2 linked regions of the Bombyx mori genome follow. The protein of the gene in region 1 interacts with the protein of each later gene in a pairwise test. Links are inferred from orthologs where the notes say so. Each region holds a gene or a part of one and is shown on either strand. Other genes may lie near its edges.

What was found.
Region 2: the proteins of G-protein-signaling modulator 2 (region 1) and Go interact in a two-hybrid assay, tested with the Drosophila melanogaster proteins (3 studies listed by BioGRID, with this or other methods). The link is inferred for Bombyx mori from reciprocal best matches to the Drosophila melanogaster genes pins and Galphao.

What each region holds. Positions count from the first base shown.
Region 1 is NC_085107.1:20,246,840-20,250,674, reverse strand, and holds part of G-protein-signaling modulator 2, read right to left. Parts: intron 3,254-3,835; coding exon 3,062-3,253; intron 2,517-3,061; coding exon 2,263-2,516; intron 1-2,262.
Region 2 is NC_085125.1:9,507,899-9,511,733, forward strand, and holds part of Go (G protein alpha subunit Go), read right to left. Parts: intron 2,378-3,835; coding exon 2,217-2,377; intron 1,820-2,216; exon of another isoform or gene 1,511-1,819; coding exon of another isoform or gene 1,397-1,510; intron 871-1,396; coding exon of another isoform or gene 544-870; intron 410-543; coding exon of another isoform or gene 331-409; intron 1-330. Other genes in the region: probable cytochrome P450 49a1, read left to right, coding at 331-409, 544-870, 1,397-1,510. UniProt on the Drosophila melanogaster protein: Guanine nucleotide-binding proteins (G proteins) are involved as modulators or transducers in various transmembrane signaling systems.

The sequences.
Region 1 (3,835 bases):
AGAGAACGTCACATTACCAGTAATTACCATTTTTTGTTTAATTTTCCGTATTTGTGTCTATTTAGTAACTTTAATTAAAACCCAAGTTATGTTTTATTTCTACAACGATCTGTGTCAGATTGTCCCATCGGAATATCACATCATTCAATGCAAGTCCGCTTCAATATTTATTTCCAGCTATAAAGTAGAGCGCTTTTTAAAAATTATTATCTCCGTCGCAAATTCTAGTTCAAAAATGAATTCCCTCCGCAGTTTTTCTAGGTAGAAACGAGGAGGGGATTAGCGTTAAGCGGTTCCCGCAAGAAAAAACGTAAATGTCGCCGCCGCCCGCAGCGAGGAGATGAGAGATGGACGTCGAAGTTTCGATTGCATTACCAGAACCCAATAGTCACAATTTCAATGTTTGAGTCGCACTAAGCGATGGATGCAACAGAAATAGACAGTTTTTCAAGTCGCACTCTTCCTAAGTTCATTTGTAAGTTTGTTCCTGTTCTATGAGTGACGTACCATTTGCCTGATGGTATTGAAATTTAGTATACGTGCTGTTAATACTCCACATAAGTTTCTCGCACCGTTCGTTATTCAATGTGACGTGTTTGGCACATTTTTTTCCCGAATAATTGTCTCCTATGTAAAACTCTGATATAGTCAGACACGATAGATCATATATACGTCTAAACATGTTTCGTGCATCTCGGAAACAACTTTAAATATGTAGATCAAGTTTTAAATATAATTACGAATTGATAGGGCCAGGTACACTATTTTATAAAGCGATAGTAATTTGCTGATATTTCGGCATATCAGTATTCAACCACAACGTAATCGAACCTTTGCTTTCTCACAAAATCGTTCCCCTTATTCCTAGATGTAGTAGGTACTTGTAGATCGCAATCCTGCTGTCAAAGTTTGGTGTGACAAATATAAAAGGAAAGTGTATATATAAAGCGGGGGCAAAAACTTTCTTCCGTCGAGTGTACTCAATACAACAAATCGCTTCCGAGCCAACAAAGTCCTTCACAAGCAGTGCAGTGTTTGACTTACTTAACTATTGTACATTCAAAACAAAATTGTTTTTTTAAGTTCGAAAACGGAAGTTGCATCCGACACGATCAAGAAAGTTTAAGTGAAAGGTTTTGCCGAACTATAAGTTATTTGCAACGTATCGTTTGTACGTTCGATCCGTGGTGCGAGATTTGTCTGTTGATATTCAGAGCCTCCAGGCAGAGCTAACAAATACACATGGAAATAAATCATCGAGTTAATTTTTAAGGTACAATCATCATCATCTTCCGCGTCCCATTGAAAGTAATAGGCCTTTTTGCATTACGTTGCATTCTTATCAGCCTATCGACAAGTTGTGCAGCGGCCAGTACTGAAGTCCCGTGAACATTTTAAGCTTTAAGTAGACGTTATTCTTTCAAAAGCACTAGAAAGTAGCATCTTGAAACTGCGACTTGTATTTTTTTTTATATCTACTGTTTATTCTTACATTTTCATGGAAAGGTTACATTTCATTCGTTGTATTAAATTACTTTTTTTAAATAGACTATAGTTAGAAGCTGATAGAGTTAAAGGTAGAAATTCCACGATAACTCATTTATCGTGTGAGCCGCTAACTACATATATATCCGACTCAGGCGACCGCGCAATACACACAGCCGGCGTCACCCGAAACGTATCTTGTCGGATCTCCCAGATTCATTCTCGGTGATTATAGGAGCCTCAAGCACCGGTCACCATTCTCGTCGAAGTCGTCGATGACAACAAAGAGTTCGACCAGTGAACTAACCCACAGACAGCCCATTGAGTTTCTTGTCGGATCTTCTCAGTGGGTCGCGTCTTCGATCCGGTGGTAGCACTTCTTTTGCCAAACCAAATTTTAGCAAATTCTCTTAGACTGAGCCTCAAACCAAGGTAGCTCCTCGAGGTTAGTACATATAATAAGTGCATGAATCAATCCTCAAACTTTGTACGCTTTTCGACGCGTTTTCGCGTATTTTCAAATGACCAAACCACTAAGATCTTTATTGTTACTTTAGACGAGACTATACGCATGTTAAATAGTTATAAGAACCTAGAGGTGCCACTGCATGTCCGAAGCGTCCGTGGGCTAGTGAGTGAGACAAACGGTTAGTCGGATAAGTTACTTTCCCGAATTATCCTGAAAGTTATTCAAGTGTGACAATCCAGAGGGAAGCCTGGATGGCATCACACAGAGTAACATACAGAGTAACATGAGATAGGTGTAACATTACTTACTCGTACTGCTTGCTGCCGCTGCTGGAAGAGCGGAACAGTTTGCTGGAGCTGGGCTTCGGCTTCTCAGTTGGTTTGGGAGTCTCTTGGATTTCTTTGGTCTCCACGAGGGTGGCTCGCTGCTCATCCATCCTCTCGGATTGGTATTTGGATAGCAGATCGAGGAAGGACTCCATGGGGCTGTCTTCGGATTCCGAACGCATCAGCACGGCTTTCTTCTGGGCGTCCTCGGGGTCCTTCTTACCGTCGGGTGTCAACTGTATTATACATTATTTAGTTGGAATCTAATAATTTATGATAATTCGTTTTGTGTATCTTAATATAATGAATATACTTTAATATATTGCTATGTATTAAACGGTAGGTGTTCATTGTATCAACCGGTCAACGCCACCCAACTAACTGCATTTGAACAATGACTATCCTAAGCCTTAAGTCAAAAAGCACACTTACCTCACGACAAACAGAGGCTTTTTTATTTTATTGCTTAGATGGGTAGACGAGCTCACAGCCCACCTGGTGTTAAGTGGTTACTGGAGCCCATAGACATCTACAGCGTAAATGCCGCCACCCACCTTGAGATACAAGTTCTAAGGTCTCAGTATAGTTACAACGGCTGCTCCACCCTTCAAATCGAAACGCATTACTGCTTCACGACAGAAATAGGCAGGGTGGTGGTACCTACCCGCGCGGACTCACAAGATATCCTACCACCAGTAAAACTGATACATTAAGGATACCGTGCAACAATTATATGACAAAATAGTGCAAAGTTTGAAGAAAAAAGTATTGAAGAAATTACTTGTATCAGGGACAGCTGTTCCATGCTCTGCCTCCTCACACGAAGGGCGTTGAAGGGCGTCTGGCTGGAGCCGGCTTGGTCTGGCGGGGCGGGCTGAGCTGCGGCGGTCTCGGCGAGCGGCGGGAGCCCGAGCACCTTGCGGAGGTCGTTGATGTTCATCTGTGCCGTGGCCATCCCCAGCACATCACAGATCTGTTATTAACACGAACGCGATTATCACTTTTATTTAAGTACAATCTTCAAAATGGGCCCGTCTTCCTCGGGTATTCCAGTGGTGCTAAAAATTTTTTTTTTTATATTTTTGCCTTGGTTAGCGTACGAGTGGTTCCTGGAGCCCATGGACATCTACAATTACACACATATACACATGGACATATAAAATTGTTTATTTATTTAATTATATCTCAAGTAAAGTTTCAATAACGTAATATGATTGATGTATGTGTATGCTTTGAAGAGTTCCAATACGAGCATAGAACGGTACAAGCGCGACCGCGGCCTGTATCGACTGACAAACGACTCCGATGATTGTCGCCGAATCCAAACGCACATCAAAGTATTAGTACTCCCGGAACGAATCACGATTTGTCGCCCACATTTCAATTGCTCGGAAAATTTTACAACCTTTCCTTTGAATGTAACGTCGTCAATAAGCTGTTCAGGAGAAGAGGGAGTGTCTTCAAAGCGTGCCGTGGTAATGAGGAGACACCGCTGTTAGATCTTAACTTTCATAGCTATAAATGTTAAAACTAAGCTGCTCTACTGAGACACTTC
Region 2 (3,835 bases), on another chromosome or scaffold:
AGAATATTTATTTTAATTATAATGCATTCGAAATGTATTAAATGAGTCGTCTATTATCAAAGGTGGCAATCTGTGCATTTGGACAAAAAAATGTTATTGATATGTCAATACAAATTGATTTGAATATAATCTTCTCCTTCAAAGAATACGGTTCAAAACCTGCAATAAATAAAGGTTAATACTTAACCTGTTATTTATCTAAGATGTCGTTCAGAAGAGTTTTGTGACTGCCAATGGAACACAAAGTCAATAATTCGTTTTTCTGATTTACCAATAATTGTCCAAAAGTCACATTGCCGGCTTTGATAATAGTCGACTTAAATGTTCTAGAATGAAACCGGTAATTTTGGGAAACGGACGATGCATTCAATCGGACACCACCATATCTGGCTACAAAGTTCCAAAAGGCGTAAGTTTTTCAACCTCAATATTAGCTAGTGAAGTAACTATAACTAAACCATACTTTAGTTAATATTGATTTGTGTTTTACTAGTGGTAGGGCCTCTTGTGAGTTGTTTTCACTAAACCTATACCTATTTCCAGACTCATATAGTGTTCCCGCACTATGTATTATCGAACGAAGAACGATATTTTCCGTCACCGCACGAATACGTGCCTGAACGTTGGTTACGAGAAAACGATATTGCCGGCAAAGATCAATATCCCATAAAAGCGATGAATCAATTCGATAAGAGGCATAGCTCGGACGAGATATCGAGAACATGCGATCGTACAGTAGTGTCGGACGTTTGTCGCAAGCAGAAGGAAATAGGGATACACCCGTTCGCGTCACTCCCCTTTGGATTTGGTCGACGGATGTGCGTCGGGAAGAGATTCGCCGAAGTCGAATTGCAACTTTTACTGGCCAGGGTAATCATTGATTTTTTATTATTATTTAGTAATACAAATTACGAGACATCTATATATTAATACGTGAAGCAAAAACTTTGTACCCCTTTTTACGAAAATTGCGCGGACGGAGGAGTATGAAATTTCCCACACTTATAGAGAATATAGAGGAGTGCAGAATGTAAATATTTTTTTAAATTATGCATAAAAAACATTTTAAATCAATAAAAAAAACATTACGCACACAACATCTATTTGACAAACACACACTTAAATACATGTATACTTTGTTTATTGTCAAACTTTTATTATTTAAAGTCTGGTCAAATTGAGAATAAATTAATATGTATTGTTTATCTTTAATATTATTTGTCTATAGTGTAGTCTTGGTGAAATCTGTGAATAAAGAAGTTTATGTCTTTGACAATAGAACTATAATAATGTTCAAATTTATAATTTAAATTAATTAAAGTCGAATTTCAACTACTGCGGGACCACTACTTATATCAAAATTACAAAAACATTCTAATGACTATTTCTATTTCAGATATTTCAAAAATATAACGTATTGTGGAGGCATCCTGAACTGACCTACAGCGTAACGCCCACATATATACCGAATGAATCTCTCAAATTTACATTGAACAAGAGAAATGAGTAGTATTCTTTTATTGATGTTTAACTTTTGGCCAGCTTAGTACATCTTTAGTTTCTAATCAAATTAAATGGGATAGTTGTTGCGCTGGGTTTCACTAGACAAAAATAATATAGCGAATAGAAGTAAAGTGATTAAATAAAATTGCCGAATTTCAACACGCATTACTGGAAAAATAGCAAACGAGTTAGAATTTTAAATTCGAACCACTGATACGAATGAGATTTGGGGTAGTTTTTAATGTACAACTCCTAATTGAACAATGTTTAAAAATATATAGTTGTAGGACCACGTGCCTGTTGTCATGACCACAAATTTACTGTACTTATAATTACGGTAACATTAAGGTATTAAATCAAATAACTTGCTTTTGGACCCAAATTTGAAAACGACCCACACTGCGATAAATATTAACTCAAATATGAACAGGTACCCTATTTCAAATAATCTGATCACACGCAATCTGATGCTAATACAACACTGGTGGTAGGACCTCTTGTGAGTTGCACGGGTAGGTAGATTAAGCAGTAATGCGTTTCGGTTTGAAGGATTGTGCAGCCGTTGTAACTATACTGAGACCTTAGAACTTATATCTCAAGGCGGGTGGGGCATTTACGTTGTAGATGTCTATGGGTAAGTAACCACTTAGCACCAGGTGGGCTGTGAGCTCGTCCACCCATCTAAGCTATAAAAAAAAACTTCAAGTACTCACTATTTAGCGGAGTCGTTGAGTTGGTACTCGTTGGAACGACCAAAGCACTCCTGAACGCCAGAGTCGGCCCAGAGCCTTTTCATCGCGGCGAGAAGCTCCTCACTGAACGGTTCCGTGTCCTCCATCCGTTGAATCACGTCGAACACCATCTTACCATCGCTCTGCAAATACCGCGTAGTGTTAAAAAGAAACCAATAGATTCTATACTAATCTATATCGACGCTTGAAAGGCAAACGTGACTAAGCGACAATAGCTACTTTGTACATAAATGATAGGCAATAACCATATTCGTGAATACCAAAATCTTTGTAACCCTTTTTACGAAAATTGCGCGGACGGAGGAATATAAAATTTCCCACACTTATCGAGAATATAGAGAAGGAGTGCAGCACAACGCAAATATTTAAAAAAAAAAAAAATCAATAAAGAAAACATTACACACTAATATATATTTGACACACATACGCATATATACGATTTTGTTTATTGGTAAAGTCTGTGGATAAGTTGAGAATAGGTTGAATATTGTTTGTCTTTATTAATATTTGTCTAAGTGTAGTCTTGGCGAAATCTGTGATTATAGAAGTATAAGAGTCTTTGACAATAGAATCATAATAGTGTACAATCTTATAATTTCAATTAATTATAGTCGAATTTCGACTACCGGAGGACCATTCGTAATATTAGAATAATGAATATTCGAATAAAGTTTTTTTTTTTAAATTGTAAATTACCCGTATGATCGATCATAAACCAAATGTCAAGGACGATTAAATTTATTTATAGAAAAACTTTCGTATTTTAATGTTATAAGGCAATTAACTTATAGATTTGTCCATGCAATAAAATTATCTATGTACCATGTATTAAATTCACAATGATTTTTTTTAGGTAATAAAATATACCATTTCTACACAGTTACTGTTACTACATTCGTATCCGATCGTACATTCGAATCTTCGAACAGAGCGAATATTCATTTTGAGTTTAGTGAACCGATATCTCAAAGGAGATGCGCTAATCGGATTAGCGAGTCGTTCAAACGTAGCTCGGAACTGTGTAAGCTTTCGTTACGCAATACAGAGATACTTGAATAACTGCATTCGTTCATACAATCACAATACAAGCAGTGCGATTATGGAATTCTCTCCCTCAACCTATTCGTGCTAGTTCCTCTCTAGAAGTTTTTACGAGTCAAATGAAGAAACATTTCCTGTCACTTTAATTGTATTTAAGTTATTGTTTTATGTATGTTTATTTATATGTATTTTTCATTTTATATTAGATTTTTTTTTTTTAAAGCTTAGTTTAAAAATCATGCTTTAATAGCTTTTATATTGTACACTATTCCCCTCTTATACATCGTATTTCACTCTGCTATTGGTTTGCTGGAAGAAAACTCATGAATGAGTTAAGCTCGCCTTTGTACATAGTATTTAGACATTCTTTAAATCTGTTTTTTTATTGTATTTTCTTTGTGTGTACAATAAGTATAAAAAAAATAATAAAAAAAATACATCATAATATTAAGTATACAACGCTCACTCAAATATCGTTTTGTATTAGATAAAATTATTAACTAGTTTTGAGCTCATTGTAAATTATCAATAATTATTAT